4 linked regions of the Notamacropus eugenii genome follow. The protein of the gene in region 1 interacts with the protein of each later gene in a pairwise test. Links are inferred from orthologs where the notes say so. Each region holds a gene or a part of one and is shown in the gene's direction. Other genes may lie near its edges. The genes, in order: TRIM39, MED18, UBE2D4 and PRPF3.

Region 1 (7,930 bases):
TTGCAGACATTATTTAATTCTGACAATACACTCATCATATGAGTAACAGAGGTGTTTTATTATTTACATTTTGCAAATGAGGATTTCATGAAGTTGATAGAGACTAAGTGACTCGGCAAAGGTCTTGTCAGTTAAGGAATTTTAAAAGTAAGGAAGAGCAAAGAGTCAAAATATAATTTGGAAGTTTTAAGCCTAGATGGTTGTGTTACCATCAACAAAAGCAGAAGGGACAAGTAGGGGAGGGGTGAAGGAGGTAAGAAGAGGAAAATAGTTTACACATGCTGAGTTTGAGATGTCAATAAAACACCCAGATAGGACTTGAGCTCAAGGACCAAGTGAAGATTTGAGAATAAGCCCAGAGATGAGGTGCAGGTGGGACTGCCAAGGGAGCAAGGAGAGAGAAAAAGAAAAGAGGAAGCAGAATAGAATTTTCCTATAGCCCTCTACAGTTTCTTAAAGGGTTGTTGATGAGGTAAGAAAGGAAAGCTTGAGGCAGATGGAGCAAGCATCCAAAAATGATAAGTACAGGGTACACCCCAAGAATGTTGGGGTACCACCAAGAAATAATGGAGGATATAGACAGATGGGTTGTAATGTCCTGAATTCACTTGGACAGTCTCCAAGTTTAAAAAAGGCATTTATTGGGGTGACACACCCAAGCAGGCCCTACTCCCCTTTTGGAGGTAGAGAGGAGCCCTGCCTTCCCCAGGAGGCAGAGCAATTGGCCAAGTTAGCTGTCTGGTCTTAAACACAGCTTTTTAAGGGGAGGAGGGCAGGAGGGGCAAGTATGGCTCTGGAAAGCCTGGAATATCACTTAGTCTGGAGGTGCACAGATAAGCAAGGAGAACAGGAAAGAGGGAGGAGGGGTGCTGCTCTGGAGTCTATACAGATAAGCAAAGGGAACAGGGAAGAGTAGGGGACAAGTTGTTCTGTCAGGTTAGGTTATTTCGGGTACTTTGTGAAGGCACACAGGTAAGGCCACAGTGTGGGGCTTCAATGCACAGTGTTCTTTAATCACTTTTCTGGGTAGTCACATCCTGTATCTTGTCTCATATCTCAACATCCTGCTTGCTCTATCTGCCTCTAATACTCCTTTCTACCTCATCGTTGAGAACTGCTGAACTTTCATTCAGTACAACAAACATTTAGTAAATACATTTCTCTTGCAAGGTCTGATGCTAGTCTCTGTCGATACTGTGACAAAAACAATACTCTCTGCCCTCAATTCTTATTTTCCTAGGGAGATACAATATTTATATAAATAAGCATGTACAAGATAAACTGAGAAAAGAAAGTGTAACAACTGGGGAGATCCTAAAAGGTTTCACCTTTGTGATACCTCTAAGCTAAACCTTGAAGGACAGCAAGAAGAAATATGTATGTATTATATATACAGATATCTAATTTCATATATATATACATATACTCTGTGTGTGCACATATACATATGTGTATATATATATATATATATATATATATATATTATGTACAGCCATGAAAAACAAAGAACTTACCCTAAAGGAATTTACAGTATTGGGGGAGGGGGTGAGATGGATGCACAAACAGGTAAAGTACAAGGAGAAAAAAAGCAGAGACCCAGGACAAGCACTCTAAGATCTGAGGGGGAAAAAAATCATTTCCAGCTAGGGAAATTTTTGTTGGCCATAATCAGTGTTTATCACGTCCCTTAGGGGGGTTGTTATGAAGTTTAAATGAGATAATCTGTGTAAAAGGCTTTACAAACTGTAGGATGCTATATAAAATGTCAGTGTAAGACAGATAAACACAGGATACTTGAGGACTGCTAGCACGGGTTCACTCTTGATTTGGTCAGACAGGAAATACTAAAAAGGGATTAATAATCTTACTTTAGTCTAGTTTTCTCAGAAGAGGATTGCTGATAACCAGAGCACAAACTCCTACAGCATTCCCTAATCACCCTTCTCACAGGGGATGGTGAGAAGGGGGGGAGGCAACTACCCCTACATCTCAATAGGGTCAATTCAGAAAGGCACAACTTGTGTTTCCCCTAAATCCCCTCAAGCCTCAATGGGAGCCAGTTGAGGCAAACACAGATTCCCCCCAAGCCTTGATGGGGGCCAATCAAGGCAGCACAGCATTCCAGTGCACTCAACCCTAAGTGTTGCCCCACCAAACCTCAGTGGGGTCAGTTGAGCCACACACAGCATTTGTGCATTCAACCCTAAGGGTTCCCCATTCACTATCTAGTGACCACCTATTTTATAGGCCAACAAAGAAGGCATATTGTTAGCAACAGCCAAAATGTATCTCACAGTGCAGCTGCAGTGAATGTCTATATTATCATTATATAACTATGTGCAGGCGCGGTGGAGATGTTTTGAACCATAACTGTGGGAACTCATATCTAGGACTTGGGAATTGTTGACTGTTATGGCTATGGATCCTGGGAAACTGAACTCTGAGAAATAATAGCAAAAATTCACTTTACACACACTAAAATCCACCTTACACTAAAATTCACCTTTCATATAGTCAGTTTTGAGTATCTTGTTCAATCTGTCTGACTCTCATCACCCCATTTGGACTCCTCTTGTGTTTTTCCATTTCCTTCTCCAGCTCATTTTACAGATGAGGAACTGTGGCAAATAAGGTTAAGTGATTTGCCCAGGTTCACACAGCTAAGTTATCCGAGGACGAATTTGAACTCTAGGAAAGGCACTATATACACCGTGCCAACTACACCAGCCTCTAACTATTTAGTATAGTAGGTGTTGTTTTTCTACATTCGGCTATTACTTTCTTGTAACAGCTGACCATGCCATCAGAGAAATGGTGGTCTTCTTCGACAACGAAGGACAAACACAACCTTGTAAGTAGATGCAGCTGGCTGAATGGGGACCCAGCTAGGTGAGTAACTCAACTGCTCTTCTCCTGTCTGCCTGCCCCTCCCCTACCTTCTTCTCTCCAAAGGAAGGTAAATTTGGATGGCCAAAAGATGCCCAGTTGACTTGAGTTTTACTGGCTCCTTTCCTTCCCTTCCATTCTGTTGCTTGTCTTGTCCGGTCATGACAACTTTAAACCTACTGCACTCTGAAACTGGGACTCCAATGGGCCCCTGCCTAAGAGCTCCTCTGGACTCTCCTAGCTTTACAGTGATTATCAATAGTAACTGTTGCTAGTTCCCACCCAGCCTGATGTCTTTCTTTTTCTTGACCTCATTAATGGGGCTATGCCCTGCCTACCTCTTAAACAAGCCTATTCAATGAATGAGCATAGCCTCACCCTAAGTGAGTGTCTGCAAAGACCTTAGCCTAAAGTGCCCAAGGCCTCCCACTGCATCCTGGGTTATCTCCAGTCATCCTGAGGAATATCAGGTCACTGGATTCAGATGGCTCTGGAGAAGAAGTGAGGCTGGTGACCTGCACAGCCCTCCCTCACTCAAAACAAAGTCAAGTGCAAGTCATGTCATCATTTCTCTGATGGCATGGTCTTCTTCAACAAAGAAGGACGAACACAATCTTGTAACAGTCAAACATTCAGATTAGCCAATGAGGCAACACACATGCATTTTCTCTCTTTATTTGTTTGAAGACTCACATACCCTCCCTGACTGGGGAGGCAAGTGATCTAGACCTTGAAGGTTGAGGATTTCAAAGGGAAGAGAAGTGCTGGAAGATAATCTCAGGTATGGGGGAGCAGGGTGGAATTCCAGGAAGAGTGTGGGTCCTGGATGTCTTGCGGAACAGCTAAAAGTCCAGTTTGGTTGAAACGTGGATAGTGTCCGAAGTACAAAATAAGACTAGGAAGAAAGAGGCCGTGGTTACTATGGTTGTGTATCTAGAAGATCATCCTGTAAAGGAAGAACCCAAGAAGGAAAAGACTATTGGTAGGAAGACCAATTCGAAGGCTCTTGGCAAAGTAGTTCAGGTGAAACCTCTACCAAAAATGTGATAGGACTTTCAAGATATGAGTTGCAGATGCAGTACAAAACTAAGGAGAGCTGGTGTTCAGTTCTGAAAATTTTTCAGATAAGCTTAAGGAAACTTTTGGAATTTTCTCAGCTTAAGCTAAGTAGCACTGATCGGTATCTAAGGATGTGGTCGTCATCACTCTTTACAAGTTTAGTAGCAACACCTTTCTGGCCACATCAGTTTTGCCACCGTAGTCCTGTGAATTCTCCCACATGGGGTCAAGTATCCTGCTCGAGAACCAGTTCTTGCTGCCCTTCTCCCCCTTGGAGTTCCCAAGACTGCAAACTTCCCCATTCCCAGGATTACAGACGTGGAAGAACATCTCACACGAGATGTTAGCAAAGGGGAGGTCGGGTTCGGGAATGGAACCGGGGTCTCGAGAGTTCAAGTGCACTGAGGCCACGCAGCCTCTTTCCCCCAACTTCGAAACACGTCTACCTACCAGCTGTAACCTAATAGAAGAGGGGAGGGAGCCTTCTTACTATTCTGTTCCTATAAAGCCCTTTTAAGCAAAACCTCGCTTTTCTTGTGACACCCCAGTGAACTGAACTAGTACTGTAATTCCCATTTTAGTTTTGATTTGGGTTAATCTTTCCCTCCACGGACTCGAGGAGAAATGGGCACAGCCAGCCACCGTACCGCCGGGGGTCCTGCCCTAGCTTCTCTCTAGGTTCCCTTCCCAGGCCCAGAACATGGGGTGTGGTCGTTCAGCTTTCCCATCCGAAGACCCAGACTCACCTCGCCCCGGTCCCGGGTCCGCTGAAGAGGGCGCCAGCGGCCACCTGGGCTTAACACCCCGTCACCACGACCGCTCTAGCCCGCGCCCGCTTCTCTGTGGCCTCAGGTAGCTCCGGGGCGCCTGCGCTCCGAAGCCCCGCCCACCCTGGCCACCACCCGCCCCTCTCGGAGACTTCGGCAGCTCCTGTGGCCTGTGCGCAGGCGTGCGTCCCCAACGCCCCCCTCCTTCCGCCCTTTTCGCGATGGCCTCGCGGGTCCATTGGGCGCGTGCAGCGCGACGGCCCAAACCCCCTTCTCCTTAATCCCTTCTCGCCCCAGCTGATCGGGGTTGAGCCTAGTTTATATCCACGGCTTGTTGGCGATGGCATCACGGGCTCCTCCCCCCGGCCGGCTGTGGGCACCGAGGCTTCAGCCCGGGGTGGGACTCGTGGAGCGTAGATTCCGCTTCCGGTGTGTATTGTGTGTATCTTTCGGGGGCTGGAGGAGGAGGCAGTGGCCTCGGCGGCTCCGGTACCCCGGACCCCCGGATCTGGACCTGGGGGAGGTAAGTGGGAATACCTTCCCCCTCCCTCCGACTTGTGCTACCCTTTTCTCCCTGGCCAGCTTCAGCTCTGCGTTCCAGCGTCCCCGCGCCCTGTTACTACGTCACTGCCACCCCCAGCACGTAACAATCGCCTTCCTCCTCCTGCTTGGGGGGCTGGAGCCAACGTCACCTCTGCCCTGGTGATGTCAGGGCGTCCAGCGTGGTCTAGCTGCATTGCCTTAGTGTCTCCCCTCTGCCATACTTCATTCTTAATCCTCCTCATCCTCATGCTTACCCAACTTAATGATGTCATAGACATCCTCCACTCCATCACAGCAGTCCGAGATACTCTGCTCATGCCTCTCTTTGGGGTCACCACCACCCTTCCTGCCAGTCAGAGGCCTTGTTTTCCTTACCCCTCCTGGCAGTGTCATGTTAGGCAGAGCTGGAGAGAGGAAATAAGGGTGGTCTGGGGACAGAGTTGTGGTCAATGCTTGGAAGAAAAGAGTAGTAAAGTTAGGGTCCCCCAAAGATGGGGAGAAGCAGAATGTGGGTTCCCACAAAGTTTGCCCGTCATCCACTGACACTTTCAGAGGAGGAAGAGAATCTGTTTCACCACGCACAGAGTCAGTATCTGTAGGAAGAGTTTTGTTTTTGGCTCCCCTCCATAGACCCTTCCCTCTCCAAATATCTGACCGTTTTCCTCCTTTCCCTTTCTTCCTTCAGGGCTGGGTGGTCCTTCCCTTTTCCCATCCTAATGCCCTGTTCAGTCTTGGCTCCTAAGCTACAGAGACTACAACTCTTCCCTAGGTAAGTAAACCTCTCAGCTCTTAGATGTTTTATGAACATGGCAAGAGAAGGTCTTAGAACTGGGTGCCTTAGAGGTAGAATAATATGAAAACTTAATTCATCTCCTGGTTGATGAGGAAAGGATGACACAGAAATGGCCTGTGCTAATTTATCCTCCATTTAGTGCAAATCAATAAATACTTATTAAGCCCAAGTATATCATATTAGGTGCTAGGGATGAAAAAAATGAATGCTAGTTTACCCCATTGGGGACCTTAATGAACTCAGATACGTAGGAAATTGGTTCTACTAATGGATATAGAATTTGTAAAGAATCCAGCGTCCTTTTCTTTAATATCATTTATTTCTAGGCTTCATAGACATACTATATACTGTTTATCCTCCTTTTCCCTCCTCCCCCCACCCCCCCAAAAAAACCAGTATCTAATAGTAGCTAGAGAAAATGAGTCAGGAGAAGGTGTAATGTTAGACATTCGTTTGTTTGCTGGTAAGTCTTGCTTTCTTTGGGCTATATAGAGAGTTTTCCTGGTATTAGGCACAAAAAGAGACCTATGATGTGCGATAGACTATAGGATGTATGTTCCCCATATAGGTCAGGAAGAAAGTAAAAAGTGAGTATAGGATTTGTTATAGGTTGAGCATTATATTTTTTATAGGCAGGCAAGATGAGAAGATGCATTTTTTTAAAAACATTTTATTATTGTATATGATCCAAATTTTTGTGTCAGTTATTTTCCCCCTAAACCCTACCTTGAAACAAAGAAAACCAATTAAGCAAATGAACATAATGATTGACACTTCTGAACAGGTATGCAACATTCCATTCCTATAGTCTCCCAACTTTTTTAAAGGGAGGTGCTTTCCTCATTTCTTTTACAGGGCTAAGATTGATCATTAAAATCATTCTGCTTGAGATTTGTTGTCAGATTTTGTTTACATTATTGTTGACCTAATGGAAGAAAGATATTTTGGCCATCGGATTGTATTTAGTAGAGAGTTTTGTAGATAGTTTTTGGCAGTAAGCTGTGAATTAGGTATAAGGGAATATGGACCTGAGATAGTTACGTAATTTGGATACTGGAGGAGAGAAGGAAGGATAAAGGCAGAATGAGTTATTGAAAAGATCAAGCTTACTGAGCTTTAAAGTTTTTTTTAAATCCCCACTGCTTAGCACAATATGTAGCAGCACGTAGTAGACAATAAATACTTTTTGATGGACTTGGTGGAATGGAGTAGAATGTGTTTCTGGAATGTGCTGGGGTGATCCATGTTAGAGAATCTCTAGTCCTCTAGTCACTGCTAACTAATTGGGAGTTTTGTTTGACAATTTTTCTTGTTTTCAAAGGGTAATACCTTGGGCCTAATAGGCATTACCATTGGTACTGTTGAATGTGGGTGCTACATATTTGCAACTCTTTAAATGTGTGCACCAAGATGATTAGATCCCCAGTGTTAGGAGGATGTTAAGATAAAATGTATCCAAAGAGCAGTGGAGCACTTTGTGAATCATTTGAGTCCGAACGGAAGGCAAAGTGCACACCTTTTAACATGATGTTACTTTTTGCTGGCTTTATCTATTAGGCCTTCCTGAAAAGAAGCAGGGTGGCATCCATCCTCATCCCAAATCAAGTCCTGTGAAAGAGTGGGGATTGAATGATCCATGAGGAGGTGTATGAAAAAATTGGTGAGGAATAGGCCTAGAAGAAAGATGAAGAGCAACTCTAGGAGAGAAGAATGATTGGGACAAGTTGGAGGATGGGAAAAAATAGTAGATACAGGTGAGTGGTAGAAGTTGACAATTTGGTATGTTCTAGGGTAGAGAGGAAAATGTTCATTTTATATATATCACAGAATTTTGATGGGGAGATATGCCTCCTTTTTTTAGTTATTTCAATAAAATGTTTAT
Region 2 (6,887 bases), on another chromosome or scaffold:
TCCCTAGTAAATTCTCTGAGGTTAGGGATTACACGTTTTTTTCTTTGTGCCTCTCTTTAGCACAGCGTCTTGCATATAATGAGCTTTTAATGTGTGCTGAAAGAAAACATCTTTGCATCAATCAATATTTCTTAATAAAAACTGACATTTATATTAGGGTCAGAGAAGTTGAATGACTTGCCCATGGTCTCAGAGCAAGAATCAGGATCTGAATTTATTTTCTGAACTCCAAATCCAACACATACCATTCACATCCTACCATCTACGTGCATTGTACTGTGATAGATACAAGGGATAAAAACATTTTTTTTAAAAGAAAAGAAAAATATAGTCCCTGCTCTCCAAGGGAATATTCTAAGTGCCCAAATAAGTATGGTACAAGATAGAATACAGGTGAAAAAAAGGCAAAAAACAAATCAGAAAAGGTGTTCTAGGAAAACTGAAGGAAGGAGAGCATTTTCATTTGAAGGGATCAGGGGAAACCTCCCTTATCACAGAGGGAGATGGTAGCTGAACTGAGCCTTGAAAGAAAAGAATGATTTCTATAAACGAAGATGGAAGAAGTATACATTTCAGGTGTGGTGTATGGCCCATAGGAGTGCACAGAGGCTGGGAGAAATAAGAGGAGATAAGGAAATATCTAGCAGTCCAGTTTAGCTGGAATATAGGACATATGAAGGAGAAACGTGTGAAATAAGGTGAGAAAGGTAATCACCTTTTTTGTTTGTTTTTTAAATCAAATATCTATTATGTTCAAGGCATTGTGCTTTGTGGAGGGGCTTAAATGATAAGCTAAGGAGTTTGTGTTCTAGTTGATAAAGCAGTGGGAACCACAGAAAATTTTTGAGCAAGGGAGGAACATGGGTAAAACTATTCCGTAGGAAGATTATTTTAGCGATAGGGTGGAAACAGTTGGAGGCTGTCTATAATAGATGCTTCCACTTCCTCTCCTTTCATTTTTTCTAAACTCTTTGAAATCTGGCTTCCAGCCTCATCTTTCCACTAAAACTGCTCTCCCCAAAGTTATCTTAAGTTCTCTTAATTGCCCAGTCTAATGGCTTCTTCAATCCTCTTCCTTTCTCTTGTTTCTGCAGCTTTTGACGCTATGGATCACCAGCTCCTCTTGAACTCTCTTCTCTCTAAGTTTTTATGACCTGGTTCTCTTCCTATCTAACTGCTCCTACTTTCCTGCATCTTCCTTTGGGCAACACCCACTAATTGTGGGTATCCGACAATCGTAGGTTCTCTTTTCATCTCCCTCTCTACTATCTTACTTGGTGATCCCATCAGCTCCCAAGGGTTCAATGATCAACTCAGTGCTCATTATTTTCAAATCTACTTATTTAGCTGTAATCTCCCTCCTGACCTCCAATCTTATATCACCAACCACCTCTATTTTTTTTTTTAAACTGAATAACTATTTCATCCAGGCTGAAACTCACACCATCTCTTCCTGATTTTACTGTTTGTTAGTTAACAGAAATTTCGACCTGCACTGTTTCTGACTTGTGTTGGTTCATCCCTCCTTAGACAGCCAGGGGGTCCTTCACTCCTGAGGGCCCTTCATGACTAGGGGATACTGGATAAGCTTGAGTTTTACTACAACTCAGAACTCTGGAGCTCAAGTGATTCACCAGCCTCAGTCTCCCCAATAGGAGAGATTACAGAGGTGTACCACCACTACTGCCTCTTAGTCATGTCAAACAGTGTCCTATAGTTCTCTCAAACAGCATTTCCAGTGTTTCTCCCTCAAACACACCCCTTCTTTTGGACTTCCCTATTATTGTCAAGGGTACCACCATTCTCCCACTCACCCAGATTTCCAATCTCTGTGTCATCTTGTATCCCTTACTTGTACTTGCCTCATGTATCCAGTCTATTTCTAAGTCATGTCATTTCTACCTTTACTTTTATCTCACATAAAAACTCTCTTTTTGTAATCACTCTAGTGGAAAATCTGCAGTCTCCAGGCCACATGTGATCCTCTAGGTCCTCACGTTCAGCCCTTTGACTGAATCCAAACTTCACAGAACAAATCCTTTTATTAAAGGCAGGTTCCCCACTCTATCCCAGTGCATACCCATCTCACTTCTCACCTGGACTATTAGAACAGCCTTCTGATTGGTATCTCCCCTTCCATTCCATCCTCTACTCAGCTCCCAAAGTGATCAAAGTGATATCACCCCCACTCAGTAAAATCCAGAGGCTCCCTATTGCCTCCAGAATCAAATATAAAATTCTCCATTTGGCTTTTAAAGCCTTCCACCAGCTGGCCCTAACCTGCCTTCCAACTCAATCCTCCTCCCCCTACATTCTCTATTATCTAGCAGTATTGACCTCCTTTCACATAATATGCCATCTCCTGACTCTGGGTTTTGTTTTGTTTTTTACTGACTATTTGGAATGCTCTCCCTCCTTATCATTACTTCCTGTCTGCCCTGCCTTTTCATAAACTCAGCTCAAATCTCACCTTCTACAAGAGGCTTTTCCCAGTTTTCTCCTTTCTTAGTGCCTTCTCTTTGAGATTACCTCCCATTTCCCATGTATATTTTATATGTACATGCTTGCTTGTACATTAGAATATGAGTTCCTTAAAGGCTTTAGTCCAGTGCCTGGCACATAGTAAGTACTTAATAAATGCTTGTTGACTGACTAAAGACCAGGAGACAATTTAGGAAGCTATTAGGATGGTCCAAGGAGGGTTTAAATTGGGGAGGGTGGCAAAATGTCAGACTTCTTTTCTAGGAGTATTCCCAAGTAGATCATGGACAACACAAGAGGACCTCTAAGTACAAAGATATACAGGGATGTTGTATTTATAATAACAATAACCTGAAAGCAAAACATGTGCCCATTACACAATGGCTAAACTCTAACGTATGACCGTAATGGGATGTTGCTCTGCTGTAGAGAAGGACAAGTACAAAGAATTAAGAGATATTTGGAAAGACTGATGCAATGATTCAGAGTGAACAAAATAAAGCCATACTAGCTACCCGTTTTGGTCCCATCAATTCCTCCAAAAAGAGGAAAGTGACATGTATAGAATTAGCCAAGTGAACTGTGAGGTAACTTTGTTTCAGGGAGATAGACTTGGTGGAGTTCAGCAGCAGTAGATGTGAACTCACTAGGGCAGAGGACAGCTTTCTGGTTGGTCTGGTTTCCCCTAAGAGATCTGAGGCTTACCCCCTGGAATTCAGCTGACAAGGATAAAAGGATCTCCAATTTCTTCAGCTTGGGAGCTCCCCCTACCAGATGGCTGAGTCTTTGTACAAGGTAACCTGCTTAGACGTTAAAGTTGGCAGAAGTTCATCAAGACTTGTTTGAGTCAGTGACTAAGTATCCTTTTCCCCCTATTTCATAGTTATTATTTTTCCAATTACATGCAAAGATAGCTCTCAACCTTCACTTTTATAAGATTTTGCGTCCCCATTTTTTTCTCTCTCTCCCTCATGTGCCTGCTCTCCAAGACAATCTGATATAGGCCATTCATGTACCATCTTATTAAACACATTTGCACATTGTTACTAAGTATCCAAGGCAGGATTTGTGAACCCAGGTCTCGTTGATTTCAAGTCCAGCTGAGCACTTGGACTGCTGGCCCAGCCTGCATACAGGAAGCATTTAATAAAGAGGACTTTGTAGAGGAAAAAGTCTTGGTTTTAAAGAGAAACTGAAGGTCCAGTCTCTTTCCCTGTCTGAACGTTAGTTTTTTCCTTCCTTCAAATAAGATGATCAGTAAGGTAGGCTGTTTCAAGCTATAGATCTTGCGACCCCAGGAAGCTACGAATTGAATGGCGCCTTCCACAGGGCACTCTCTTTGGAGGCCGCCATCTTCCGTACGCAAGGACCACACATTACGCATGCTCTCCTTTTCCGGCGACTCCAAAACCGATTTGTGCGCATGCTCGCTCGCAGTCACCCGGACGTTCAGCCGGCTGCGCTTTGATTAGAAGAATTGAGAGCGAGGACCACGGGCTTTCGGGCCTCGGTGCGTCCGGGTTTCCGGGAGGGGGACGAGGAGGGAGAGGGAGCTCGGCCCCGGGGCTGTGGGCAGCGGAGTGGAGCCGAAGCTAGCCCCGGGCTGGCCTGGCCTTGGAACAACAGCCTCTGCAGCCCTGAGGGTCCGGGGTACGCTGAGCCTCTCGTTGTTGCGGCGCATGCGTAGTTTGGCCTCACAATTTTTTTAATTGAGCCCGCCCCTTCTGTGTGCGCGGGAGGGGGTCGGCGGTAGATGGGGGGGGGGGGGCGCCCCAAAGAGCATCCCCCTCCAGGCCGAGGTTTCTTCCAATGTAAAATAAGATTTAGAAACCGGTCTCTGAGGCCCCTTCCAACCCCAGTCTATTTCACTCGTTTCTTACTAAGTCCGGCTCTTCCTGACCCCGTTTGGACTTTTCTGGGCTCAGATCCTGGAGCGCTTTGTCCTTTTACAGATGAGGAAACTGAGGCAGACCCAGCCTGAGGCCCGACTCGAACTCAGGAAGATGAGTCTTCTGATTCCTAGGCTCTGGGTGGGGTGGTTGTGGTTTTTTTCTCTTTCGGGGCTCACGGTCTTATTTCCCTTTCCTTCCCCGTCCCCCTTTTCCAAATAAAGTAACTGAGGCTCCCCAAGGTTTAAGGGATTTGCCTTAGGTCGGTTAGGGGTCCGAAGCCATCATCGTTCCCAGATCTAGCACGATTTATGTTAAAACGGCGGGTCTTTGAGTAATGAGCGAGTGGTCCCAGGCTAGCTATCATGACCTGGGCTGTGCAGGAGGTGAGAAATAACCCAGGCTTTATGAGAGAGGAAGTGACATGTAGGTAGGTACTATCATACAAGGTGAAGTGTCATGAGGGCAGAAGAAAGATCCAGACCTAGCCCACCAAGGAGAAACATCCAGTTGGGGACTTCTGGAAAACTATAAGAAAAGAAATGAGGAAAGACTGAGCATTGGACCTCACTTAACTAACTGGATGATGCTGGGCAAGTCACTGAACTTCCCTGCCTCAGTTTCCTCAGCTGTAAAATGGAAATAATTACAACACTCATCTCCCAGAGTTGTTGTGAAGATCCAATGTGTTATTTGTAAAACGTAAATGCTTTATGTTATCACTATTTTATTAATGCAGTAGCCAGTGGTAATAATTAGTGGCATTTAACTTTTCAATGTTTTCAGAGCACTTCACATGTGATAACCCTCTAAGATAGTTAAGGAGTGTCATCCCCTTTTCATAGACAAGGGAAATGAGATTCAAAGAGGTTGGGTCATATATCCATGGTCCTAGTAGCCAGTAAGTGTCAGAGCTACTGTTTAAAACAAAGGTTTTCCGATTCCCACTGGAGTGTGCTCTGTTGTGCCAAAAAAATACAAGTATTAAAATATAAATAAATGTGGGAGAGCTTCCATAAAGTGATACCCCAGTAAGAAAGCAGAATCAAAACAATAAAAAGTGGGGGAAAAAGGGGACATAAACAGGATATTTTAGTTACCTTGTTAAAGATGGCAGATGCTTCTTTTCTCGAAGTGAAGTCTATGATTTTATGTGTAGTTTAATTTTATTTCAGTGTTTTTACTTTAAAATACAAAAATATAATCAGCTTATTGGGCAAAGTGATCTGTAAGGTCCTATCACTTCTATAATCCAAGGATCCCTTCTGAATCAGATTTTCTTTTGTTTCTTATCACTCAGGGAAGCTGACAATATGGAGGCACCTCCAGTCACCATGATGCCAGTAACAGGTGGCACTATAAATATGATGGAGTATTTACTTCAAGGTAAGTTAGCCTAGGAATTTGTTATATCACCCATTTTGTCCTCTTTGAATCAGTTATGATAAACATTTTTGCCAGGAAATAAGGCAGCTATGGTATGTATGGTTCTGGAGCGGGTAATAGGAAGCTTGGATTCTGGGTCAAGCTTTGCCACTAAGTGGTTGTGACCTCCAGATAAGGAAATTCATACTCAGGTTGAGTAGCCCTTGGGGCTCATTGTAAAAACAGAGGATTAGAGTAAGGTGATCTCTAAGATCAAGTTGTATTTTGGTTTTGTAGATGGTTATCTGAAATGTAGAAAGCTAGAATGATGTTCAGGGTTTAATGGAGCTTCCTAGGAATTCATGTCCTCTGTCATGCTCCTTCTGTTTTTTATTTTCCTAATGAAAGTGAAGAATGAGGTTCCCGTGATGTTTTCCTTCCCTTTAGGAAGTGTTTTGGATCACAGTCTAGAGAGCCTCATTCACCGACTTCGGGGACTGTGTGACAACATGGAACCTGAGACTTTTCTTGACCATGAAATGGTGTTCCTCTTAAAGGGGCAACAAGCTAGCCCTTTTGTTTTAAGAGCCCGGAGGTCGATGGACAAGACTGGGGCACCCTGGCATCTGCGCTACCTGGGACAACCTGAAATGGGGGACAAGAACCGCCATGCCCTAGTACGTAACTGTGTAGACATTGCCACGTCAGAGAACCTGACTGATTTCTTGATGGAGATGGGCTTTCGAATGGACCATGAGTTCGTTGCCAAGGGCCACTTGTTTCGAAAAGGTATCATGAAAATCATGGTATACAAGATTTTCCGAATCCTGATGCCAGGAAACACAGATAGCACAGAGGCCCTGTCCCTCTCTTATCTTGTGGAGTTAAGTGTTGTGGCACCAGCAGGACAGGACATGGTCTCTGATGACATGAGAAATTTTGCTGAACAACTAAAGCCTTTGGTTCACTTGGAGAAGATAGATCCCAAAAGGCTAATGTGACAGAAAGGGACTGCCTAACATTGGGATCTGTTCTTTTGCGTAATAGAAATCAAGACTCCAAATAAATACACTTGAGCAACAAAAATTGAACTTTTTAACCTTGAGTATAAGGGTTCCAGGAACTTACCTGAGCTCTGGACCTCACATCTCT
Region 3 (6,840 bases), on another chromosome or scaffold:
TTCACTGAGACACGGACAACCCCAAAGCCTTTACACCAAGTAGTACTTGGTCTTGTACTCACAATAGATGGGGACTGAGGGAGGGAAGGGTTCATTCATCACCAGTCCATTCTCCTTGTCCTACGATATAGCTATTGCTTCTCTGGATGTTGCCTTGAACATACCGGGGCCTGGGAAAAATCTTCATTTAGAAAGGCTGAAGTCATCTATCGCCAGCTGTCTTGACTTCTGTGCTGCCACTGGATTTTGAATACTCTGAAGTAGAGAGTGAGGCTGATGACTTATGCAGCTCTGTCTCACTTAAATCCAATTCACACAGCAAATCACTCTCCAGATGTCAGTGGTCTTCTTCGAGAAAGGAGGAAAAGCAACTGACTCCTGGAACCACTCTATAGAGTGTCCTGGACACCTGCAAAGTAATCTACCTCACCCTCCCCTCCCTTCTCTCCAAAGGAAGGTAAATTTGGATAGCCAAAAGATGCCCAGTTGGTTTGGGTTTTACTGGCTAGTTTCCTTCCCTTCCCTTCTTTCTCAAAACCTTAAACCTACTGCACTCTGAAGCTGAGACACCAATGGGCCCTTGCCTAAGGGCTCTTCTGGACCCTCCAGGCTTTAGAGTGATTATCAGTAGTAACTGTTGCTGTTTCCCTCTCCCTCTGATGTCTTTCTTTCTCGAGGTCTCATTAAAGGGACCAGGCCCTGGCTACTTCTTAAACAGGCCTATTCAATGAATGGGTGTTGCCTCACCATAAGTGAGTACCTGCAAAGACTTTGGCCTAAACGGCCCAAGGTCTCCCAGTGTATCCCGGGTCATCTCCAGTCATCCTGATGAATATCTGGTCACTGGATTCAGATGGCTCTGGAGGAGAAGTGAGGCTGGTGACCTGGCATAGCCCTCCCTCACTCAAAACAAAGTCACATGCTAGTCATGTCATCATTTCTCTGAAGGCATGGTCTTTTTTGGCAAGAAGGACAAACACAAACAACCATGAATAACCTGCCCTTCAAAACTGCAACATTTTTTTTTTCCTGCATAATCTTAACAGGGAAAAATGGATCTTGAACAGAACAGAAAACTTTCAAGCATTCTTGTTGAAAATACCATGGTTGAGTATAAACTTTGAAATGGGATTGGAAATTGAGAAGTAATTAGAGGGAGCAAAATGATGATGAAATCCTTACATTCTAATTGTGTGAGAACAGACGCGTCCTACTAACTTTCAATGGTCAACATGGGAATTAAGAACCACCAACATAGAAACTAGGTGCGGTTTTGTTAGTTTTAAGAGAGGAAAAGAAAAGGGTGGGGAAAAAAAATACAAGAAAGAAATGAGGAAGAAATTCACTCTTTCACATAACTGGGGCATAGGAGAAGGGCACACAAAAATGGAGGAAGGGATGGGGGAGTGGGCTTATCATCTTTACTGGGCAAAGGTGGTTTAATGTATCTACTTAACATTTATAATTTGGTGTAGAAACAAATTAAACTCAGATACTGTTGCTCAGTTGTTTTCAGTCATGTCAGACTCTTCATGATCCCATTTGGGGTTTTCTTGGTAGAGATCCTGGAGTGGTTTGTCATTTCCTCGTCTAGCTCATTTTACAGATGAGGAAACTGAGGCAAACAGGATTACAACAACAATATTTATTAAATTAAAGGTTGGGCAAGAAGCCTTGGCTCATGGTTACTATCCTTTAAGATCAGGTAGCAAGGATATGATGGCTCACCTGAAAATGTGGGTACTGTTAAGTGGATATTACGTTTTTCAAATGACTCTCCCTTTTAAAGTCTAAGAGAACTAGACTAATGAACAAATAAGAAACTAAGAACAGTGTGGGATTCCACCTGTGATCACAGATAGACTCTGCTCCCTGCTTTTAACTTGGGAAGTAGTGGGCCTTCAGTACACTTTGAGCACTATTTCTATCAATCCTGCCCTAGTCTTTCTCTTTACCCCAGTTCTAATCCTTTAGCATTTCTGTCTTAGCTCCCCTCTACTTTGATCAATAGACATTTATTCAAACAGCAAGCACTTATTGAGTTTTATAGTGTGCAAAGCACTGTGTTAAGCACGGGGCTCTGTCCTAGGTTTTAGAGAGGGACAGGAACATAGGATGTAATTCAGAGTTTTAATCTGTATTTGATCTGTTTCTTTGAACAGCTTATTCCCCATACCTGGAATGCTCTCCTTCCACAGAGATGGGATGTAGAATGGTAAATTGTGGAAACAGCAAGTAGACCCATGTAGTTGAAATGTAGGTACATGAAGGGGAATCCCCAACTTGGGGACCCTCCCCTTTCATTTCCCTTTTATGGGCTCTTTCCCCCTTGGAATGTAAGGTACTTGAGGGCAGGGTCTGCCTTTTTGCTTGTATTTCTATCCCCAGTGTTTAGCATAGTACTTGGCACCTAGTAATTTCAACCCCCTCATTTGACAGATGAGGAAACTGAGGCACAGGCAGGTTAAGTGATTTACCTGAGATCACCCAGCTGGTAAGTATCTGAGGCAAGATTTAGTGTAGGTCTTCCTGGCAAGTCTCCCACTCTATTCACTCAAAAGTGAGGAAGGGAAGGATGGTTTGGGGCAGGGAGACAGCCTACTTCTTTGAATTCCACAGCCCTTGCTGGGCCCTGGAGAAGCAGCAGAAACCCAAGAGGTGACTGCATCCAGTATCTCTCTTCTAGCCCCACATCTCTGTGGATCCCACATTGACCAGCCCCAGCTTCCTTATCCTCTTTATATACCTTCCCAGTCCACTTTCACCACCTTTCCCTCTTTTTCCATTCCAGTCTACCCCTCTATCCCAGTTCATTCTCTCCAGCATCTTCATCTTCCTTTTCTTCAGTTCAGCATTTAATTTCACAAACTGGGTCCTTTCTACCTTTCCCATCTTCTTGTACTTTGCTCCTCTGGGGTGGGGTACTGTACAATTGACACCAGCCTTCTAGTTCACTCTAAGCAAAGCCTTTTTCAGTGTCCCCTATACAGGAATGCCCCGTCCCCCTCCTATCAAGACTCAAAATCCCATCTTCTTCGATCCTTTCCCAATCTCCCCTCCTACTAGTGCCTCTCCCCCTCAGATGACTATTTTCCATGTAATAATAACAACTATTATTTAAATAACACTTAAAGATTTGCAATGCTTTACAAATATTGTCTCATTTTATCTTCACAACAGCAATGGATGATAGATTCTGTAATCTCCCCATTTTTATAGGTGGGGAAAAGGAAACACTCGGAGGTTAAGTGACGCATCTAGCGTCACCCAGCTAGTCAGATGTCTGAGGGAGGACAAAACCCTGATCTCCTTGACTCCAATTCCTTTGCTCCCTAGGTATTCTTACAGAAATGGCTGTTTGCCTGTTGCTTCCCTTGTTAGACTTTCAGCGCTAGGACTGTTTCATTTACTTTCTTTGTACCCCCAGAGCTTAGCACCCCTGGCTAAGCTGGCACTTAATAAATGCCTTTTGAATGACTGAGGGAGCTCCCTCTACTTGGAGAGGAAGGGATGCAAACAGCCGGCGGTCAGTCCCGGACGCTGGCCAGCCACTCATCCTCCCCTAAGATTTGAAGCTGGAAGGGTTCCCAGAGGTCATCTCCACCAGTCTGGCTCCTCATTCAACAGATGAGGAAACTGAGGCTCTGAGAAGTGATCTGCCCAAGTGTATGAAAAGTGTTTGGCAGAGAGAGGCCTGGCCATCAAGGGAGGGGCAGAAGAGCACCAGCCCAGGGTCTCCCTCCTCTAGGGAGATCACTTCGTAAAAAGGCTTTTGCTCGGTACCCCAATCCCAAGCCTGACTAAAAAGAACTACAACTCCCACAGTGCCCCGCGGCCGGCCCGCGCTGCGCACGCGCCACCAGCCGAGCTCCTCCCCTTGCAGAGAGCTGCGAGGCGGCCGAGCCTAGCTGTGCTGCCTCCCGTGGCCGTCCCTCGGCCCCGGGGCTGAGTCGTGGTCCTGCAGCGGGTCGTAGGATGGCGTTGAAGCGGATCCAGAAGGTAAGCCTCCCGCTTCCCCTCATCCTTGGCGAGAGTCCGGAGACGGAGGAGCCGCAGGCGTCGGCTCCACCGCTACACAGAGAGCCACGGCAGGAGGCGGCGCCGCGCGCAGGCGCGGGAAAACTTGTGGCACCTGCCAGGGAGTGAGGCGGCGCCTCGTGCGCCCACTGCCTTACAAGGGAACAGCACGGGGCGGGGGCGGGGCCACGCCGGGGCGCGGGGTCTCGGGGTGGGCGGGGCGGGGCCTGGGCGGAGCTAGAGGCGCCGCCGGCCAACCACGTGCTCCTTTGTGTGTTTCCCTTTCTGCTGGCCGGCTGTTGGCGTGAGGGGCGTGTCCCATTCTCACTTTTTCTCCTGTTCTTGCGCCGCCCCCTCTGCCCCCTAATAGCCCAAGAAAACTAGCAGTCGTCCACCCCCAGGCTCCCCGCCCCAGTGCCAGGCACACAGTAGGTGCTTAATTAATGCCTGTCACCTCTCCCCCTTCCTTTATGGTTATAGATGCGGAGCTGGAAAGGACCTTAGCAGCCTGATAATTAGATTCAACCCATTTTAAAGATGAAGAAACAGGGTAGATTTAGAGCTGGAAAGGACCTGAGAGCTTAATTCAGGTGGGGAAACTGAGGCTCAGAAGTTAAGTGATCGCCCCTCTGCATCTTGGGAGCATAGATTTGAGCTGGGAAGGAAGGACCTTGGAGGTTATCTGGTTCAAGTCCAGGGTCCATCATGGATAGACCTGAGCCCAGTTCCTTCCTGAAATCTGCTGGCCTTCCCACCACCCACTGTGCCTGAAAAGTTACTTAGACTAATTTCTGCCCTTTGAATTCTGTTTCCTCCACATGCCCAAAACTGACTTTCACCTTTTTACCTCCATTAAGGGCTGAAGTTTCCCTGCTGTCCCGACTGTAGCTCTAACAGCTCCTGGTAAATAGTTCATCAGTCTTCTAGGACCATTGGGAGCATTTAGAACTGGCCTGAGATTACTTCCCATTTACACAGTGTCTGTCTTGTGTGTCCACCTAGTATACCTAAGCACAGTTGTTTGCCTGTTTGTCTCCCCATTTAGACTGTGATGAGCTACTTTTAGTTTCTCTTTTATGCTTTGTGTGCCAGGGCACGTTATTGAAGTACTTAATAAAGGTTTGTTGACTGACGGGGTGGTTATCCTAGAGATCATTTAATGCTCGCTGTTCTTCAACTCCCTGCCAAAACTTGGTATGTAGGCTCTTCCAAACTATTAAAACTTAAAACCACACTAAGACTTTTGGGACATACTAATATTATGCATTTATTTGTCAGGGTTCCAGTTGTCCCCCTCCCCCAATACCTGGCTTGCACTGGGCACTTAATAAATGTTTGGTGAATTAAATAGTTCACCTTCATAATTCTGATGAAGAAAACAAGGGCCAAGAAATGAAAAATGACTTGTCCAGGTCATGCAGTGGGCAGATTTCAAATCCAGGGCCATTTCTTTGTAGGATGCATTCTGCTTGTTCCCATAGGCTGTTTGTGATCGCTGCAGACTTGCATGTTGGCCAGTTCCAGAATGGTTGCCACTTCTTATTGTGGTCCAGAACTGTGATTTTATTGGTGTGTAGGAAACTTCCTGTAAGGAAATGCAGATCTCGGAAACCACTGTAAGGTGAAGGGCCCTAACCCATACTCTGTCTCTTACACACACATGTACACACACACATACGCACACACACACACTTTCAGAGGCAGGACTCAGAGGCCAGTCCTTTCTTTATGACACCTCTCTGCCTTTCTAATTCTTCTGCTTCAGTCTTGTTAAGTTCTTTTGGGATTAAGGCTTTTTGGTACCCATTAGTTTGGCCCTCTGCCATACTGTGCAGAGTAGAGATTGCCTCCATCTTGGAGTTAGGATCATAAAATTACTTAGGGCTTTGGAAGGGACCCTAAGAAGTCTTCTAGTAGAACCTCCTTGTTTTACCAGAGAGGTTAAGTAGCTTGACTAGGGCCACAACCCTCCAGTTCTTTTTTCATGGGCTCTTCTTTCTTGATTTCTTGATTTCTCTTAGAACATATCTTTGTTTTCCTCCTTGTTACCAAATTCCATTTGGACTTCCTTACCCATTCACTTCCTGTGCAATTCCTCATAGTTTCTTTGGGATGCTTTTGATAGATAACCTTTTGACTGTACCTGTTTTACCTATACAGCTCAAATAATTTTGTGCCCTCATTTCTTCCTAAGGCTTGCTTATTAAGCTAACCTTGATGAATTTGTCTTGGTTCCATCTCAGACTGGGTGTGCAATCCAACTTTCTTCTGGGTTACCTTTGTTTGCATGGTGATCATCTATTCCAGTGGGTTATATCAGCATACTGCTTCTACTTCGTCCCTAGATATCCATATTTCTGTACGTGTGCGTTCATGCACTTAATGCATATCTGTGTCTTTGTATATTCTGTGTATTTACTTACTGATATCCTTGTTGTGCCATGTCCCACTTGTGAATGTCAGTTCTTTGATGATAAGGATTGTTGGTCTTTGGTCATTGAGGCAAACCCTCTTATCTTACAGATGAGGCAAGGGAGGTGAAGTGATTTGTACAAAGTCACACAGAAATAACAAAGACAAGATTTCCATGCAGGTCCTCTGACTTCAAACTTGATGCACTTTCTACTGTACCAGGCATATGTGTTCAGGTACATACATATGTACCTCTGTGTGTGTATGTGTGCGTGCTTGTGCCTGAGAATATAAATACAAAAAACATTCGTAGATTTGTCCCAATTCTGTAGCATAAAAGCAGATGTTTTGTTACAGATTATGTTCATGTCATAATTATCCAGAGTAACTTTTCTCAGCGTAACTTGTGCA
Region 4 (7,645 bases), about 220 Mb from region 1:
GAGAAAATATCTTTATACCAGACTTGGACTATCTAGACCAGTACTTCTTAAAACTATGGGGTCCCAACCCACAGTTTGAGAGCCGAATGGGTGGAGAGTGGAAAAAGTTTAAGAAGCCCTGATCTAGATAAAAGGATCCGTCTCTGCCCAAGTTTGAGTAGAACACAATGGACTTCCCCATCTGAAATTAAATTCCTTGTAGAGTTGGGTTGGGTCTGACCAATATTAGGGAGAGTTAATTCAGTCTCATTATTAGTAATGTCCTTTAAGAGATTTAACTTTTTAAAATCAGGAATTTGGAAGAAAAGGAGAGCTCTAAATCTCCCTAAGATACTGGTTATTAATAATCATTTCTCTCACCAGCTCCCTCTATTGCATACTATTTTGTCCTGGATAAAATGGAAGTGACCCAACCTGACATTTCAAGTCCTCCCCAGTTTGACTCCAATTTATCTTTCCAGCCTAATCTCACACTACTTCCTTTCATACTCAAATTCTAGCCGAAATGAAATACAACAATTGCCTCACTTAGCATTCTGTCTCCTGCCTTTCTACCCAATGTATCCTGTGTCTGGACTTCAATTCTCTTCCCTCCACTTCTGAATATTTATTTCACTCAGGTATCACTGGGTTCTGAAGTAGAAAAGGCACCAGGCTTCAGACTTTCAAGTCTGTCTGACACTTTATAACCTGGGGCAAGTCATCTCAATTCTCCCGGGTCCCAGTTTCCTTAATTGAAGTGAGTGGGTTGGAGTGATAACCTCTAGATGGTTCCTTTCAACTTTTAATTTTTCATGTCCATGATCTGTTCACTCAACCATCCTCTGTGAAGATTTGTCTAAGTTGTAAGAGATTTAGATCACTGATGAATATTTAAGAGTTTTAGTTAAACCACTGGAATTAATATCTATAAGTCAGACTCAGATTTACTTGTACAGGCCTCAGTAGTAGAGTTTGTAAGTTTGGGTTCCCTAATTCTAAAGGCTACAAACTGGACCTGTCTCATGAGGGAGATAAGGAGGATGGATGGAAGATGATTCAACCTGGTCAAATGAGATAAGGAGGATGGATGGAAGATGATTCAACCTGGTCAAATGTTTTGCCGAACACTGGATCTCTTAGGTATTGAGTGGTATATGGCATGAGACTTTTCAGAGGATGTTGTTCAACTCTGTATTTTTCCTGTTGCTATAGATTCTGAAAACTCCCTCTTGCAAGTCAGTATGATTAAGCAAAATGTATAGCATACCCTTTGCCTTTCTTCTAAACCAACCAACAGTCCTAGTTTACTTTGCATCACTGGACTATTTTTGGTACTCTTTATAACCTATCTTTTCAATTGTATAAAAAGCTGCTCTGATTGTCAGAACTGTTTCTGATTACTAATGAGCCATTGCCCTACTTTATTGGCAACTGTTTACATTGCTAATAAATCGATCATGCTTGGAATCTTGTGTCTCAGTGTCTCTTAATTGCAAAATTTTCTCAAGACTGTTGTTAGTACTTTATCTCTCCTTAAATCACGTGAGATTTACTTATCTTTTTACATGTATCTTGATGTAATGTAGGTCCACTGAGGGCAGGCACTTTTGTTTGCGCATTCCCAGCATCATTCAGAATACGTAAATAATAACTATCTGTGGAATTTAACTGACGTAGGTTTATTGTGAGGAAGATGGAAGCTGATCCAGGACATACAAAAGCAAAGAGGTGGAAATGGAGAAATGATGCTGAAGGAAAGCTGCCTGTGCCATAAGGGATTTACTGAAAAAGACTTTTTTCCCATTTGAAAAACACTGGTAGAAATTACTGCTTCATTTTCTAATGGTTAGGACTCTTGTGCATTTTAAAACTGTGGCAATATTTAATAAATGTGTTAATTAACATCTTAGACATCTGTATTATATCTTTAGAAAAATAAAAACAATAATATTGAGTCCTTATATACAGGATATTGTCCCAGACACCGCCATGGTCAAGGACTGCCACTTGTATTAAAAATTATATTCTCCAATTCAAAAATTTTTTTTTCCTTTTTTGAAAACGAGTCTCTCTTTCTCACTCACACTGGAAGCACAGTGGCCACTCCTGGGCTCCATCCCACTTCTCATCTTCACAGAAGCTTTGACCTGCTCCATTTCTGACCTAGGCCAGTTGAACTTTCTTAGGCAGTTTGGTGGCTTTTGCTCCTGGGGGCTTATCATATTGATGCTGGATTTAGTTCATGCACTTGATTGGTTTAGAACATCCCAGCTTAAGAGATCTACCAGGCTCTGCCTCCTCAGGAGCAAGAATTACAGGTACCCAACTCTATGGTCCAGCATAAGGCTGATTTGTCTAAGGTTCTAGAACACAGATGAGGGGCAGTGTTAGTTATATTTCAAATGGTGCAGTGATTTTTCTAACCTGGCCACAAGTTCACTGTTACAGAATTCTAACACATCAATAAGGGGCTAAGATCTAAAAAGGGCCAAAAAACAATTACTATTATTAACAGACAAATGAGAAATAAAAACTTTGAAAACGAGGAGGGATATTTCAGGTACTTAAAAAATGACTTTGCTAAGGGGAATTTCTCCCCTCCAACTTTTGAAGTTTAATTCATATCCCTTCTCTTCTCTTTCTTTTCTTTCTACTAGGCAAATTACTTTAACTCTCAACTTCAGTTTACTCACCTGAAAAATAAGGGGGTTGACCTCTGAGGTTCCTTTCTGCCATAAATCTGATTTTTCATATGGTAATGATCTTCCTTGAACTAACTTCATAATAACTAACATTTATATAGTTTGTTTTTTAATAACTTTATTCCATTCTGTCTTCTCCCCCTCTATCATTCCAACTCTCTCTTTTCTTCAGTCTGTCTCCTGGCTACTGCCTACAAATATGTTCATGTCTCCTCCATCCTTAAAAAACCCTCACTTGATCTCCCACCCCCTTCCCTGCTATCATTCTATGTCTTTTTTTTTTTTTTTTTGTATGACTAAACTCTCTGAGAAGGCTATCTGTGATCACTGGCTCCACTTCCTTTCCTCTCACTCTCTTCTTAGCCCTTAGCAGTCTGACTTCTAACATCATAATTCAATGGAAACTTTTCAAAGTTAGCAATGATCTTTTAATTGCCAAATCTAATGGTCTTTTCTCAATCCTTTCTGCAGTCTTTGATAGTTAATCACCTTCTTTTCCTTGATAATCTCTTTTCTCTAGGTTTTTATGACACTTCTCTCTCCTGGTTCTCCTGTATGATTGCTTTTTCTCAGTCTCCGAGATGGATCTTCATTCAGAGCATGCCTATTAATCATGGGGAAACCCAAAGGCTCTATTCTGGACAATTACTGCACTTCCTGATTTCATCAATTTCCAAGGATTCAACTATCATTTCTATATAGATGACTTTCACATTTATTTATCTATCCCTAACCTCTCCTAACTTCTGTTCTTTCATCCTCAGCTACCTATTGGACATCTCAAACTGGATGTCTCAGTGACATCTTAAGCTCAACATGTCCAAAACAGAATTTATCTTTTCCTCAATCTTCTCCTCCTCCTAACTTCCCTATTACTTCTAGGATGCCACCATCTTCCCAGTCATCAAGGCTCACAACCTAGGCGTCATCCTCAACTCCAAACTCTCACTCCCCATAGCCTGTCAATTGCTAAGTCTTGTTTCTTACATTTCTTGATACAACTCCTTCTCTCTGACACTGCCATCATGCTGGTGCAAGCCTTAATCAACTCACACCTGGACTACTGCAATAGTCTGCTGGTGGGTCTGCCTGCCTTAAGTCTCTGCCCCTTCCCCTTTCAGTCCATCATCCACTCAGCTGTCAAATTGGTTTTCCTAATGTACAGATCTGACCACGGTTCCAGACTGCCTCCAAGATCAAATTTAAAATCCTCTATTTGTTTTATCCAAAGTCCTCTACATCTTGGTCCCTTCCTATCTTTCCAGTCTTCTTAACATCTTAACACCACAGCCTTTCAACCTGGTACTCTGCAATCCGGTGCCTCTGGCTTCCTTGCCGTTCCTCCAGCAAGGTAATCCATCTTCCACTCTAGGCATTTACACTGACTCTCCCCCTCGCCCAGAATGTTCTCACCTCTGCCAAGCTTCCTTGGAGTCCCAACTAAACTCCCACCTTCTTCAAGAAGCCTTTCCCAAACCTCCTCAATGCCAGTGCCTTCCCTCTATTGATTTAGCCTGTATACGGAACGTTTGTATATGGTGGTTGGCAAGTTGTCTCACTAAGGGTTTCGGAGTGTTGTACGAGCTTGTGGAAGGGGCGGTGCTAGGAAGTGTTCTTAAATAGCGTCTTTGCCCCATTATCCCCACTTTAAAGACGAGGAGGGATAGCTGGACGCTCTCCGTAAAGCCTCTCGGGCACCCGCCGAGTGAACCCACGCGCCGTGTCAGTAAAGGGCACCAAGACTGGAAGCCCGCTTGATTATTCACACTTTACCAGATCCTAGCACGGTGCTCCACACCGGGTCCGCGCTTACTAAACCTGACTTTGCACGCGAAGGCCAAGGCTCGGGGAAGACATCCCAGCCTTCGACTTCATCCCCAACTTTCGCATAAAGCGCTCGCTTCCTGCACTGGGGAAACGTCTGTCGGCTCTACTTCCGTTTCCGGAAGAATGAACTTCCGGTTTTCCGCACGGGATAATGGTGGGCGGATAGTCCTGGTCATCTCAAGTCCTCCTAGGCTTCGAAAGAACCGTGCGCATGCGCCGAGACGGGTGGGCGGGCGAGCGAACCTCTTCGCATTTCTCTGCACCCTTTGGGCTCGCCACCGTCACGTGCCAGGGGCGCCGGGCGGGAAGCCGCGTGGCGGAGGCAGCGGTAACGACGGCAAGCCGTAAGGTCGGCCGACTTCCGGTTCCGGTGTAACGTTCGGGCTCCGTCTCAGGGGCTGAAGTTTGTGAGGTGAGTAGCGGGCTCGGGCCCAGTGGGGCTGGCTGTGGGGCCTGGGGGCTCAGCCTCCTAGCCCTGGCCGCAGTCAGAGCCCAGTTGGAGGTGGCGATCCCTTAGGCGAATGGGCCCAAGGGAGAGTGGCCAAGGAGAGGTTTCTGAGGGGGAGTGGGGTGGCGGGGATTGTAGGGAGGTAAAGGGCGGGGGCGGGAAGGGCAAAAGAGGCTCGGACCGAGGTGAGCTGCCCCGGGACAACCGGGGGGTGGGGGGCTTAGGTCAAAGGGGAAAAAAGAGCGGGACTGGGGAAGCATCCCGAGTGGAAACTTCCACCCTGAGTCTTCACTGGGGCTCATTTGGCCTTCCTAGTGGAGGCTCCACTTTAGTATGTTGTCATCTGCTCAGTGACATGTCAAGTTGTGATCCCCAAAGCTGATTTGTGTACCACCCACACCCTTTGTTTTGTTTTCATATCAAATGAACTAGCATGTGGTGGTGAGGGTTTCGTTTACAAGCGTTCAGAGCCCTAGCTATATTCCAGTCCTTTAAACGCTACGGATGTGATGATGACCAAGGTTTTTACTTTTGTCGTTTTTTAAGTATTTACAAAAGAAGCTCTCTATTTAACTTGATCATTACAACAATCCTTTGAGCATAGGCAAACCCTTTTGTCTTAGTCCCTGTTTTACAAGTGGGATACTGAAAGCCCGAGGAATTAAGTTGCTCATTCCCTACTCTTGACAACACCAGGATCCCTCTTAATACCATGCATGATAACATTCTCTGTATTCGCAGTTCAGGAATATGTATGGTTGAGTAGGAGTTTAGGAAAACATAGTCTTTTTCAGTGATTCCTTAAAATGATTGAGACCCTCTTGGGCTCTTTTGTCATCTAACTGATAGGTGAATAGACCTCTTAATGAGTTTTCTTTCAGCAAGACATATGCTGGATACTCAGATACTTCAGAACATCCTGTATGTGGTCTTTTTCCTTTAGTTTCATCTGTTCTTTTCCAGGCCCCTCTATCCCACTTTATTCCAAATTCAAAATCATAGTTTGGTGGTAATTCCGAGTGTGAACTTGTACAGATCTGTACTGAAATGTTGTTCTGAAATGAAGACATTAATCATTATATTTCTCATAGGGAAAAGATGTCTTAGGATATCCTAAAGAAGATCATTTACTTTTAAATGAAGAAAACTGGAATCACAAATTGGACAGAAACTCTGGTGTATGTGCTTACTTAGATTTGAAAAGGTTAAATCAATGAGTAATTATTTTCTCCTGTGTCCTGAGCACTATACCAGATGATATAAGAAGAATACTTAAGAAAATAGCTTATGTCATTGAATAGCTTCTGATTTAGCTAGACAAGTAAAGGTGTGAATATAAATGACAGTCCTGCTTAATAGAATGTTCAGTGAGAAGGTCTATTGTTCAGAAGACTCTTCAGTGGTTTCTTTTTTCTTTGCTGAACTCAAGAATTAGATTAGAAGTAAAGAATTGTCAGTCAGGAGAGGAGGAGGGTGTGCATCTTCATTTCTGTGATCCTTGTCAAGCACCCTGTCAGAATGGTCTGTCATGTAAACTTACATTATGAGAGGGTTGGTCAGTCATACAGTTTTTATGTGAAATTAGGGTATGGTGTCATGAAGAGAAAAATCTGTAAAGGAATGTGCTTAGAAGTTGTGAACCTTAATATAAAATTGGTGTTTAACTCTACCATAAATACTTCATGACCCACTGACCTGTATTAGGATCCCACAGAAAAGGATTCTGTCAGTCAGAATGAGGTTAGGGGAGGCCATGCATGAGCCTGATGACTTCTGAAAGACTTCTGCTATATTTCCATATTGTATAATCTGTCAGGCTCTGTAGATCTAATAGTATAAGGAAGGAAGCACCAGAATACAGTTCTCAGCTCAATTCCCCCTGGGTTAGCATAAGAGATGCTCTCTTTTGGATTTATTTTTTACAAAGATTGTTACCAGGGGGATGAATTTATCTGTAATTGTAGTAAATTAACTTGCCCAGGGGTGCAGGAGGTAGCCGGGGGAGAAGTCATTTCTGATAAAATAAATGTCAACCTGTATTATTTTCAGTCTCCTACCCTTCCCAATCACTTTCTCCTTTTTCCCTCATAGGTGCTGTGTTGAGTATTCAAGGTTGTCTCACTGTCTGTTGTCCTTTCTAAAGAATGGCCCTGTCCAAGAGGGAGCTGGATGAGCTGAAGCCATGGATCGAGAAGACAGTGAAGAGGGTGTTGGGTTTCTCAGAACCCACAGTGGTCACAGCAGCGTTAAATTGTGTAGGAAAGGGCATGGATAAGAAGAAAGCAGCTGGTATGTATTTTTTTTGGTTCCTGAATATGTCTCTCAGCCTGACTCTCAGAACTGAAATATTTGAAGCATTCGTAGGGTTAAAATGATGTTGGAACTTTGAAGGGAGAAGGCTCTATTTTTCTTGTGCTGGGTAGTGAGAATAGTCAGTTTGCTTTTGGATTATCTGCTGAGTGTCTTTTGAATCCCTTGCTGATTTTCTGCATATGTCAAAGTTGCCTCAGTCATGTATGCTTACGATATATTTTATGTACAAAACATGTTTATAGACAATACTTGCTTTATGTAAATTTGCATTATGTAAATTCAACTTTTTGTAAAGAATTCTGAAAGAAATCCCCATTCCAGAAAACACCTATGTTAACTACAATGCTTTGATTTCTCTCTTCTCCATTCCTTT

Evidence for each region.
Region 2: the proteins of TRIM39 (region 1) and MED18 interact in binary tests that used the Homo sapiens proteins (3 or more experiments, as listed by UniProt). The two-hybrid records come from large-scale screens. The link is inferred for Notamacropus eugenii from reciprocal best matches to the Homo sapiens genes TRIM39 and MED18.
Region 3: the proteins of TRIM39 (region 1) and UBE2D4 interact in binary tests that used the Homo sapiens proteins (3 or more experiments, as listed by UniProt). The link is inferred for Notamacropus eugenii from reciprocal best matches to the Homo sapiens genes TRIM39 and UBE2D4.
Region 4: the proteins of TRIM39 (region 1) and PRPF3 interact in binary tests that used the Homo sapiens proteins (3 or more experiments, as listed by UniProt). The two-hybrid records come from large-scale screens. The link is inferred for Notamacropus eugenii from reciprocal best matches to the Homo sapiens genes TRIM39 and PRPF3.

Annotation. Positions count from the first base shown.
Region 1 is NC_092873.1:84,398,492-84,406,421, forward strand, and holds the start of TRIM39 (E3 ubiquitin-protein ligase TRIM39), read left to right. Parts: upstream 1-4,923; 5' UTR 4,924-5,235; intron 5,236-5,442; exon of another isoform or gene 5,443-5,840; intron 5,841-5,940; 5' UTR 5,941-6,024; intron 6,025-7,605; exon of another isoform or gene 7,606-7,802; intron 7,803-7,930.
Region 2 is NC_092876.1:69,439,595-69,446,481, forward strand, and holds the start of MED18 (mediator of RNA polymerase II transcription subunit 18), read left to right. Parts: upstream 1-3,881; 5' UTR 3,882-3,991; exon of another isoform or gene 3,992-4,131; intron 4,132-5,670; 5' UTR 5,671-5,683; coding exon 5,684-5,756; intron 5,757-6,182; coding exon 6,183-6,736; 3' UTR 6,737-6,887. UniProt on the Homo sapiens protein: Component of the Mediator complex, a coactivator involved in the regulated transcription of nearly all RNA polymerase II-dependent genes.
Region 3 is NC_092872.1:716,918,023-716,924,862, reverse strand, and holds the start of UBE2D4 (ubiquitin-conjugating enzyme E2 D4), read left to right. Parts: upstream 1-3,823; 5' UTR 3,824-3,975; coding exon 3,976-3,999; intron 4,000-6,840. UniProt on the Homo sapiens protein: Accepts ubiquitin from the E1 complex and catalyzes its covalent attachment to other proteins. In vitro able to promote polyubiquitination using all 7 ubiquitin Lys residues, but may prefer 'Lys-11' and 'Lys-48'-linked polyubiquitination.
Region 4 is NC_092873.1:304,220,166-304,227,810, forward strand, and holds the start of PRPF3 (U4/U6 small nuclear ribonucleoprotein Prp3), read left to right. Parts: upstream 1-4,631; 5' UTR 4,632-4,923; intron 4,924-6,050; 5' UTR 6,051-6,137; intron 6,138-7,050; 5' UTR 7,051-7,103; coding exon 7,104-7,248; intron 7,249-7,645. UniProt on the Homo sapiens protein: Plays a role in pre-mRNA splicing as component of the U4/U6-U5 tri-snRNP complex that is involved in spliceosome assembly, and as component of the precatalytic spliceosome (spliceosome B complex).